Linked DNA regions of Macaca mulatta. The protein of the gene in region 2 interacts with the protein of the main gene of each other region in a pairwise test. Links are inferred from orthologs where the notes say so. Each region holds a gene or a part of one and is shown on either strand. Other genes may lie near its edges.

Region 1 (3,360 bases), on a different chromosome or scaffold from region 2:
CAGGTAGATTCCAATGCAGAGATCAGCAAAGGCCAGGTTGCACATAAGGAACCTGGGGACCGTGAGTTTATATTGGCTGGTAGTTAGGATCACCAGCACTATGATGTTCCCAGTGATGGCCAGGATGCTGATAAACCATATCAGGACTCTGAGGATGTTGTACCCCATGATATCTTCACATGGGTTGAATGCATCTGGCTTAGGGGAACAGGTCACGTCAGCCACTTCATTGCATAAGTCATAGTCAAACTCACTGTACATCATGTCAAATCCTCTGCTGTAACCGGGCTCATTGTCTTCTGCCAGAGAGGCTCTCCGACCCCTAGCCTGAGTCATATAATCAACTTCTTGCCTTAAAATAGATTTGTTGCAAATTGGATGAAGCTCAGAACTAGAAAAATACAAAAAGAAATAGAATCAACATCTCAGATCCAGAATAGCAAATACATCACTGTCTTTGTGCAGGGTAGAAATGATGGGTTTCCTCCCGAGATTTTTTGTTTCTTCTCACATCGTATCTGCCCTTGAGGCTAAGCTCAAGGGTTAATGCTGCTTACTGTAAATGAATATAACAACTTGTATATATATTACTAGAGTTGGATGGCCCACTGGGGAAACCATCTTGCCACAACCTGAATGTGGGGAGGAAGGCGCCTGAGACTAAGCCTTGCTGTTAAGTGAAAATAATTTACAGACCTGGTATCAACTCTACCCTTTTCCTTCTCTCATCTTGATCCAGCTATCTCTTAATATGCCTGAGTAGGAGATATTCCTATTCTTCTACACTCAAATCACTGGAAGATCCAGACTGTTCTCTCACTCAAATGAGAACTTATTTGCTTCTCTTATCTACATAAATTAGGTGATCAAAATCTAGTTAGTTCCCAGCCAGCCCCTGTTCCCTGGCTCTTTGGTTCTCAGGCTATTAGGAGGCCAGCTAATTTGCCTGCAATGCTACCAGGGTCTTTCCTGTTCTTTATTATCTCACTTTCTGGGGGCTACAATAGACCTCAGACATGTGTTTGTCTGCAAGGTAAGCCTGGCTGTCTCATATTAGTTTCCTAGTGAGTGCCCCAAAGAGCAAGTGCAAGTTGCAAAAGGACCTAATTTATTCTAAGAATGTAACTCATCCTCGGGGCAGCCTAGGTCTCCTTGGGCTCACTTTGCTGTCTTGGTTTTCCCTTTAAACACAAATGTACAAGGGGCCTTGTGAACAGCATAGAGGTACTTACAGAGGGATTTGAATGAAATCCAGGTGATAAATATTCAATCCATGAGTATACCTATAAATATTCTACCCCAGAGTAGTCTATCAATACTCTGGATGTAGAGACATGGAAGGTATTCAGTTTGGAAGTAAAGGCTTATGGAATGGGAATAACCCTTACATTGGGACATTTTTGGATGAAAAAAAAAATCACACATACACAGGCATACCTTTCCCTCCTTCCCCAAGGGGCAAGTTCACATCTATATTAAGTTGACTGTATTTTTATTAAACCTTGACATAACCTCAGATATAAGCGGGGAAGTGAATATTAAAACCCTCATAAGGAGGAAAGAAGTGGCTAGGGGAGTGGAGGAGGTAAAGACTCCATTTGATGCTAAAGGATGAGTCTCACCAGGTGTTCCAACCTATTATACATGGACTGAACTTTTCCCCATCTCTGCCCATCCTCTCTTCTCTCACCCCTGGGAAGTGAATTGAATTGCCAGGAAGTCATTTTCCCTTGGCCTAAGGGATTCTTTTTGTTTGTTTAAGGCTCAATGATGAACATATACAGAATTGAAAGTCAATGGAAACAGAGCCCAGAAAATGTTTTGATTTAGTCAGTGGTCTTCCAAGGAAGGTGAGGCAAGCTCCATAATGGGCGTAGAGGGCATAAGAGGGTTATCTTGTGGTCCTTAGTCTAATTCCCAACTCTTAAACCCTGTTATGAACTAGCTGCAGCCTGATTCCAGGAAGAGAAAGTAAGTAACCTGGTACTTGCTGACTGCAGTGTGGTTCATTGGATTGAGATCTTACTTAACTCTCTAGAAACAGGCTTCACTTCCTGGGACTTATGGTTGGCGTCTGTGAAGATTCTTATTGTTGTTGCTGCTGTCCACATATTTTAAATATTGTGCTTCCCTTTTCTGAAACAGAAGTGACCCACTGACATGAAGTAAGGAAAAAAGTAAATAACTTATGTCTCTGAGATAAGAACAGAAACAAAAGTGGAAACCGAGGGACATCAAACCTTGCCTCCACAGTACTTTGGAAAATCCTAACTATCATAAGGATTTGGAAATTCAGTTTAGGGCCAGTTTAAAAAGTGGCACTCTTGGACTCTGATCAGTCAGTGAACAGATGCTTGCGGGTGGTGTAGCAGTGTCCCAGAGCCTGAGCTTTGGAGGCAGGCAGAGCAGATCTGGATTTGTTTGGTCAGTGTAGGTCAGGTTATTTAGTATCTCTGAGCCTCAGTTTCTGTCTCTGTGAGAAACGAATAATAATCATGTTACCTTTGTGGAAATTAAATGAGATAAAGATACAAAGTATTACAGTGCTTGGCAGTGAATACTCAGCAAATGTCAGCAGTATGAAGACAAATGGTGGTTATTTATGGAATTCTTGTGGAGGTATAGGCCATGTGTGGGTACTTAGAAGCATATGCCACAGCATGTCAATTTAATATTGAATCGTGAAGAAATGGCCTTCACAGCATTGTGTTGTGAAGAAACAACTTGTATTGTTAAATACAATAAAAATTGAAGAATAAAATGAGAGTAAAGTAATGCAAACTGAATACAGAATTATGACAAGGAAATATCTGGTTCAATGACAAATGAAGAGTGTAGTTGATAGGAACTTTTGGGAAGAGCCCAGGAAGAGTCCAGGAGGACCACTGGCCAAAGTTTTAGTCACAGGGGCCTCATGTTTATACTCTGGGCATTATTTCCAAATGAGGATCAGAATAATTTCATCATACAAGTTAAAACTTGAATCCCACTACTAAACCACACCTACTGTGATATACAATGAAATGATACTATCAAAGGAATAAATCTGAAATTATCTTCTGAATAACATAATTATTTTGTGGTGTTTGTGTGTGTGAATTTGATGAATACAAAAATCAAATACCCATTGCTAAAAATAAAAAACGAAAACCATCTATCACAATTTTTGTTACTCCATTTTGGCACGTTGTGGAAGAACCACATTCCCCTCCTTGCTGTACCCCAACAGGCCTGGATGGTGAGTTACAGCAGCAACCTAGAGGGATGAGAGCAGAGTGGTCTGGAGGGATCAGAGAAGACCTCATGTCCTGGGACAATATAAGGCAGATGTGGAGATGCCAATTGGGAGAGCCTTGAGGC
Region 2 (3,653 bases):
CTGATGAATAATCAGTAAAGTACTCTTTTACTTAAATAGATTCAATTTTTTGTTTTTTTTTGAGACAGGGTCTCGCTTTGTCATCCAGACTGCACAGTAACACCTCATTGCAGCCTCAGCCTCCTAGGCTCGAGGGATCCTTCCATCTCAGCCTCCCAAGTTGCTGGGACCACGGAGACATGCTACCAAGCCCAACTAATTTTTTCAATTTTTGTAGAGATGGGGTCTCCCTACATTGCTAAGGCTAGTCTTAAACTCCTGGACTCAAGTGATTCTCCTACCTCGGCCCTACCAAAGTGCTTGATTATAGGCATGAGGCACCGCACCTGGCCTCAATTTTCTTTAAACTCTTAATTTTTAGGAGACTGACACTTTGTCTTATACTACCCAAAACAAATTTCTAGCCCCCTTCCTGATGTACCTTGGGGCACGCTGGAGTTCATCTATTATTTTTAACTCAGGAAGTATGCAAGGAATATGGGATAAACTCAAACCTGTTCATTCTCTTTCAGATCTATTATGAAGCAAGTGTTTAGTTGAAGCTCCAGCAATAGGTGTAACTCTGAAATTCATTTAGCTTTCTGTTCTCAGTCCCCAGCTACGGTGAACAAGTGGTTTCATTTACCCTAAAATATTTGAAATCTTCATTTGCAAGGAAAACCATTCTTCCTAACTTCCTTAAAATAACAGTCTGATGACATTTTTTAAAATTACTTCCACAGACATGAACAAGGATGTTGAAAATAGTTTATAAATCTTTATACTTAATGTAAATATCAAGCTTAATATAAAGCTTTTAGGACAGTTATAATCCAAAATACAGTACAGTATTTACCTGAGCTTGCATGTACCCAAGTAGAGGTTCTAACAATGCTATTTTCTTCTTGTACTGAAGAGTATTTAATGCACAAAAATAATGCATCATGGTCTGGTGTTGTTTCTTTCTGGACGTGTACACATCTTCTGTTACTTCATACTTCACCTTTGAATGAAAAGATTTAAATAATTAAGTAAATAATCTACTATTATTTACTTAATTTTGTATTATCTTCAGTAGGAGCTGTGGAGAAGAGCCCACCGAGGAAAAGGTGTATCACAAGCAATTGAGCATTGATGTTCCTGTTTCTGATCTTTTAGAAATCCTTCAACATACTGGTTAAGCGAATTTTCCTGTTTAACTTCCTTCCAACCACATAATTTACAAAATGCACATTGAGGCCAGGCGTGGTGGCTCATGCCTGTAATCCCAGCACTTTGGGAGGCCGAGGCAGGAAGATCACTTGAGGCCAGGAGTTTAAGAGCAGCCTGGTCAACATGGTAAAACCCTGTCTCTACTAAAAATGGAAAAAAATTAGCTGGGTGCGGTGGTACATGCCTGTAATTCCAGCTACTAGGGAGGCTGAGGCATGAGAATAGCTTCACCCTGGGAGGTGGAGGTTGCAGTGAGCCAAGATCACACAACTGTACTCCAACCTGGGCGACAGAGACTGTCTCAAAAAAAAAAAAAAAAAAGGCATATTGAAAACAGAATTCTGTACATAACTAAGAATGGTACAGTAACTAAACTAAGCATGGCAGAGAAAGCTTACCACATGGAGGAAGGGCAGACAATTGTTTGTTATTAGTTTAGCCATTAGTCTTTGACTTTGATCAGTTCACAGCATACCAGTCTCCCCTCCTGGTTCTCTCCCTATCAGTCTTCCTCTCTTGTACTTGCTTGTCTTCCCTCACCCATACTTGAAATATGTGTGCTCCCTAGAGTTCTTTTATTCAGACAACATATATTTATTGAATACCTATTATGTAATAGGCATTATGTTCTTCTGTCTTCCTCCTTTCCTTAGAATCCTCAAGTACCAAGAATATTCTAATATTCCAATATATCAATGACTCACAAATTTTATCTCTTCCCTCTCACTCTCCCAAGTGACAGAGGAAACGCATCTCCAGCTGGGTTCTTTATGTGTGTTTATGTGCTACAAATGTACAAAACTGAAAATAGTTTTGTACACAAAACCTGTTCTTCTACTTTGTTTCTTAGCTCTCTTAATTACTACAGGATCCATCCAGACATCCAAGAAATCTAGGACTCATTTTTTATTCCTCCTATTACCACAAGACTTGTCAATTCATACTTAAGAAATATCTCTCGGCTGGGCGCGGTGGCTCAAGCCTGTAATCCCAGCACTTTGGGAGGCCGAGACGGGTGGATCACGAGGTCAGGAGATCGAGACCATCCTGGCTAACACAGTGAAACCCCGTCTCTACTAAAAAATACAAAAAAAACTAGCCGGGCGAGGTGGCGGGCGCCTGTAGTCCCAGCTACTCGGGAGGCTGAGGCAGGAGAATGGCGTAAACCCGGGAGGCGGAGCTTGCAGTGAGCTGAGATCCGGCCACTGCACTCCAGCCTGGGCGACAGAGCGAGACTCCGTCTCAAAAAAAAAAAAAAAAAAAAAAAAAAGAAATATCTCTCAAAAGTACTCCTTCCTCTCCACTTTCAGTAACAACCTTAGCTGAGGCCTTCATTATATCTTTGCAAACTATTCCAATTCCTTTCATTGGATTCCCTCTAGTCTTGTCCTCTTCACATTTTCATTAGTATGTTTGTTCTATAACACAACTGCATGATGTTATTCACCTACTTAGAATCCTTTGGCGGTTGTCCACTCCCTCTAACACAAATTTCAAGGTCATTAATATAGTAATCTGGTACCAATATACTTCTTACTCTTTCTGCCATATCTCCAAACATTTCCTTTACTGTCACAGAGTACTCCTAACCTTTACACTCTCCCAACTCCACCATGTGCCTCTGAAAGGCTGTTTTTCTTTCAGGAAAGCAATCTCCAATTCCAAACTAGTGTTATCCACTTATCTTCAATGTAAATGTCACCTTTTAAAAGTGTAACCTTTGCTGGCCGGGTGCAGTGGCTCACACCTGTAATCCCAGCACTTTGGGAGGCTGAGGCGGGCGGATCACCTGAGGTCAGGAGTTTGAGACCAGCCTGGCCAACACGATGAACACCCACCTCTACTAAAAATACAAAAATTAGCTGAGCAAGGTGGCTCACACCTATAATCCCAGTTACTGGGGAGGCTGAGGCAGGAGAATCACCTGAACCCAGGAGGTGGAGGTTGCAGTGAGCCGAGACAGCGCCACTGCACTCCTGCCTGGGAGTCAGAATGAGGCCCTGTCTCAAAAAAAAAAGTGTAACCTTTCCCAATTCACCAATCAAAGCTAACTGCTCCCCTCTCTGTGCTCTCTCCGCATTTTATTAAAACCCCTATTATTGTATTTAACTAATAACAGAGTTAATCCATGCCTTCTTGTCATCCTTGTACTCTGGTTCCTAGTCGACTTGCATGCCTTCACACAGGTAGCCTTCAATAAATGTGGAGTATCCAGTCTTTGAGGGCAGGAGTGAAGCCTATTCCCATTGTTCCCCCAAGGTACCCAACAGACTGTTTGACATATATTAGGTACTCAATGAATTTTTAAATAAAATGAAGTTGGTGAAAAAGTGTTTTTTAAAATACTTTGAACAGCCAGAAGTAATGTAAAATATATCAAATTTTATACCTAGAGCCTTTGACTACTTCTCTAAGGCCAAGTGACTATTAGAGATCTCAAAATGTATACATTTTATCAATAC
Region 3 (3,653 bases), on a different chromosome or scaffold from region 2:
CCGCAGCTCACAGGGCTGGTGATCACAGCTGCCGGCCTTGCTGAGCACCTACTCTGTACCGTGCACCTTGTGCCACCTGTGGTCCGCTGCCTTGGTGACTCCGCCTCAGCCATGCTGAGACGGCTGCCGTCATCCCTCCTTCCACGTGTCGGCAGGAGTGGTTTGCCTGACTTTCCTGTGTCTGACTCGAGAACGCTGCATTTACTGGGCTCGTTGTCATTTGAAACTTGGGATCATACCTGGATGCAGTGGCTCATGCCTGTAATCCCAGCACTTTGGGAGGCTGAGGCAGGCGGATCACAAGGTCAGGAGTTCGAGACCAGCCTGGCCAACATGGGGAAGCCCCATCTCTACTAAAAATACAAAAATTAGCCGGGTGTGGTGGCACGTGCCTGCAGTCTCACCTACTTGGGAGGCTGAGGCAGGAGAATTGCTTGAACCTGGGAGGCGAAGGTTACTGTGAGCCCGAGACTGTGCCATTGCACTCCAGTCTGGGCAATACAGCAAGACTCCATCTCAATAAAAAAACAAACAAACAAAACTTGGGCTCATGAGTTCCTGTGGGACTCTCTGCACTGCTGGTTGGTGCTGGGCTCCATTGCTTTTCTTTCCTTTTTTTGTGAGTCATGTTCTTCTACTAACAGAGTTTGTTTTAGTTGTCGTTGCCAGCAATTAAGTGACCCTGAGCCAGTGTCTTCCTTTTTCAGTGACTTGGTTCTCCTTTCTTGGTGGTGAACTCTCGGTGCCCCCAGGTCAAGGAGGAGTGTCTGGTTGGCTATTTGAGGAAACCGCTCTCCAGCCATGTGGTTTGGGGTCTTGGAGGTGGACACACACACAGACCCGTCCCTGATTATGACTCAGTGAAGAACCATTGAGGAGCTGCCCCAGGTTGGAGGAACCAGCTAAAAAAGAAGGCAGGCTGGCCTGGTGGGAGGCCAGGCTGAGGCCTCCTGCCTGGGCTGTTGGGAGATGGAGCAGCAGGAGGCAGCGGCCGCTGCCAGTTGTGCGTAAAGGGACAATCAGGTGCTCGTGCAGTTGGCCGGGCTCCAAGAGCCAACCATCCTGAGGGTTACTTAGCAGCCTGCAGGGCTCCAAGCACAGCAGATAAGGCGCAGGCCGCAGCTGGTCAGGAGGATAACCCAGATTAGAACGTGGTGTCCGGTGATAGCCAGGCTTCAGGGTGACCCACCGCAGCCCGGTGTCCTGCTCCTCCCCCAGCCCACTCTCCCTCAGCACTGATCAGCTAGGGCAGGCACTTGCAGAGGGCAGAAAAAAGATTTAACGCAAAGCAAATGTTTTGCTCTCTGTAGAATGGGCTGTTAAATCCTTCATTAAAGTGCGACCTTATGTGATCTGTCATTGAGCCCCACTGTTCAGCGTGAGGAAGGATACCCCCGGCGAGCCGAGTGTTTGCCTTTGGTGGGCGAGACAGTGACCAGAGGGGCCCCAGGAGGCCTGTGGGCATGACGCACTCCGCCTTGGGTCGCGGTGCTGGTCGGAGGTGTGTGCGGTCTGTGAAAATGCTGCTAGCCAAACGCTTAGGATTTGTGCACTTAACAGTGTGGATGTGACACTTCAGAAGAAGTTGGAAGAAAACCGTATTCTGTGGTGGCTTTAGAGCCCATTCTCTCACATCTCTCACATTTCCATTCTTTTACAGCTGAAACTAGAGGACCGTTCTGTGGTGCCCCGAGATGTGGTCCGGCACATGCGATCCACCGTGAGTCCTGCGTCCCGGGCCTGGGGTGCAGCCCCCTTAGGGACTTGAGCCTGCCCACCTTGTGCTCTGTATGTGGGAGAGCTGGCCAGCTCTGCAGGGGGCGTGCTGGGGTTGCCTGGGCTGGGTCTCCCATGGTGACCAGGGCTGCTGCACCGTAGGACTTGCATATGCCTCCTCCCTCCCCCAGGACAGTCAGTGTGGCACGGTGATCGACGTCAACATCGACTGCGCCGTCAAGCTCATCGGCACCAACTGCATCATCTATCCTGTAAACAGCAAGGACCTACAGCACATCTGGGTGAGCCAGCCCTGTCTTCTCATCATGCTTTCTGGGCCCTCTGGTTCTCTCGGCGGCACGACCTGTGCGCTACAGCCTCCTCCCTGCTCTTGCCAAGCACAGCCTTCCTGGGTCAGAAGGCGGAGCACAGCAGCCAGCTGGCTCCTATAGCCTTGTTTTCCCTGCTTTCAAGTAAGCCATTTAGATGTGAGGTCAGGACGTGCCCTTCCCCAACCCCAGCATAGGCTACCAGTGTGGTTATCTTTAAGTGTTTTCCTTTCTCCTCTAATATTTCTTTTTAAAAAATTAATTATTTCCAATAATTTATTTTTTTAATGATTTTAAACTTACCAAAAGTTGTAAATTCCTTTGTCCCTCTCATCTGGGTTCCTCAGCTGTTAAGATTTCACTCCATTTGCTCCATCACCTTCCCTCCCTCCTTCTCCCCGAGATCCCCCTCCAGTCTTTTTTATTCCCAAAACATTTGAGAGCAAGCTATAGATATGATGCCCTGTCACCCACCCCCAAATACACACACCTCTTGTGTGTTTTCCAAAAATACGGACAGCCTCCTGCGTAACCACCATATGACCCCCAGATTGAGAAGTGGACGTTGATAATTACTGCCCAGTCCACAGACCACATGCAGTTGTCCCAACACTACTCTTTTCTTTGCGGATGCAGGACCCAATTCAGGAACACATCTTGCATTGAGTTGTCATCTCTTCGTTTTCTCTCCAATCTGGAATCGTTTCCCAGCCTTTCTTTGTCTTCCATGCCCTGAACAGTGATGCATTCAGTAACTTGACCCTCAGCCTGGGTCTGTCTGGTGTTGCCTCATGCCCACGTGTTCTTTGCAGACCCGCCGCAGAGCTCTGCCCTGGTCCATGGTACCCCATAGCCAAAGTGCTGGGGTTGTTCACTTTGACTCCTGGTCATGTTGTTGTCCACCAGATCTCTCCACCGTAAACTCACCATTTACCCCCTTTAAGTGATTGTATTTTGTGGGAACATAGTCCCAGATTATGTCTATACCCTGTCATTTGTCAAACTGAAATCCACCAGCTTTGGCGTCCATTCACAGTCCTGCCTGCACCAGCCATTGCTCTGATGTTGCTAAATGGTGGTTTTATGACTCCCTTGTTCCCCCTCATTTCTTTTAGCTGGCATTCTGCTCTGTAGAAGAGCTTTATCTTCTGCCCCATTTATGTATTCTTTTTTTTTTTATCAGTATGAACTTAGAGATTTCTGTTTTATTCATTGGTTATAATTAATTACTACTATTATCTGTTCTGTTGTTTAGATGGTCCCAGATTTAGCCAGTGGGAGCCACTTCAAGCTAGCTTTCATGTCCTTCTCACATGGCCCTTTCTGTTGGTTTTTTAAGCACTTTCTTTCTTTCTGGCATGAGGTGTGCCAGGCTCATCTTGTACTCTTTGTGGTCCAGCCCCAGAATCAACCATTTCTCCAAGAAGCCTCATTGCTTTCAGAGAATGGTATTTTTTTTTTTTTTTTTTTTTTTTTTTTTTGAGACGGAGTCTCGCTCTGTCGCCCAGGCTGGAGTACAGTGGCCGGATCTCAGCTCACTGCAAGCTCCGCCTCCCGGGTTCACGCCATTCTCCTGCCTCAGCCTCCGGAATAGCTGGGACTACAGGC

Evidence for each region.
Region 1: the proteins of APPL1 (region 2) and FSHR interact in a two-hybrid assay, tested with the Homo sapiens proteins (2 studies listed by BioGRID). The link is inferred for Macaca mulatta from reciprocal best matches to the Homo sapiens genes APPL1 and FSHR.
Region 3: the proteins of APPL1 (region 2) and UBE2O interact in binary tests that used the Homo sapiens proteins (3 or more experiments, as listed by UniProt). The two-hybrid records come from large-scale screens. The link is inferred for Macaca mulatta from reciprocal best matches to the Homo sapiens genes APPL1 and UBE2O.

What each region holds. Positions count from the first base shown.
Region 1 is NC_133418.1:75,836,740-75,840,099, reverse strand, and holds part of FSHR (follicle-stimulating hormone receptor), read right to left. Parts: intron 392-3,360; coding exon 1-391. UniProt on the Homo sapiens protein: G protein-coupled receptor for follitropin, the follicle-stimulating hormone. Through cAMP production activates the downstream PI3K-AKT and ERK1/ERK2 signaling pathways.
Region 2 is NC_133407.1:120,802,339-120,805,991, reverse strand, and holds part of APPL1 (DCC-interacting protein 13-alpha), read right to left. Parts: intron 983-3,653; coding exon 836-982; intron 1-835. UniProt on the Homo sapiens protein: Multifunctional adapter protein that binds to various membrane receptors, nuclear factors and signaling proteins to regulate many processes, such as cell proliferation, immune response, endosomal trafficking and cell metabolism.
Region 3 is NC_133421.1:86,153,345-86,156,997, reverse strand, and holds part of UBE2O ((E3-independent) E2 ubiquitin-conjugating enzyme), read left to right. Parts: intron 1-1,660; coding exon 1,661-1,720; intron 1,721-1,907; coding exon 1,908-2,018; intron 2,019-3,653. UniProt on the Homo sapiens protein: E2/E3 hybrid ubiquitin-protein ligase that displays both E2 and E3 ligase activities and mediates monoubiquitination of target proteins. Negatively regulates TRAF6-mediated NF-kappa-B activation independently of its E2 activity.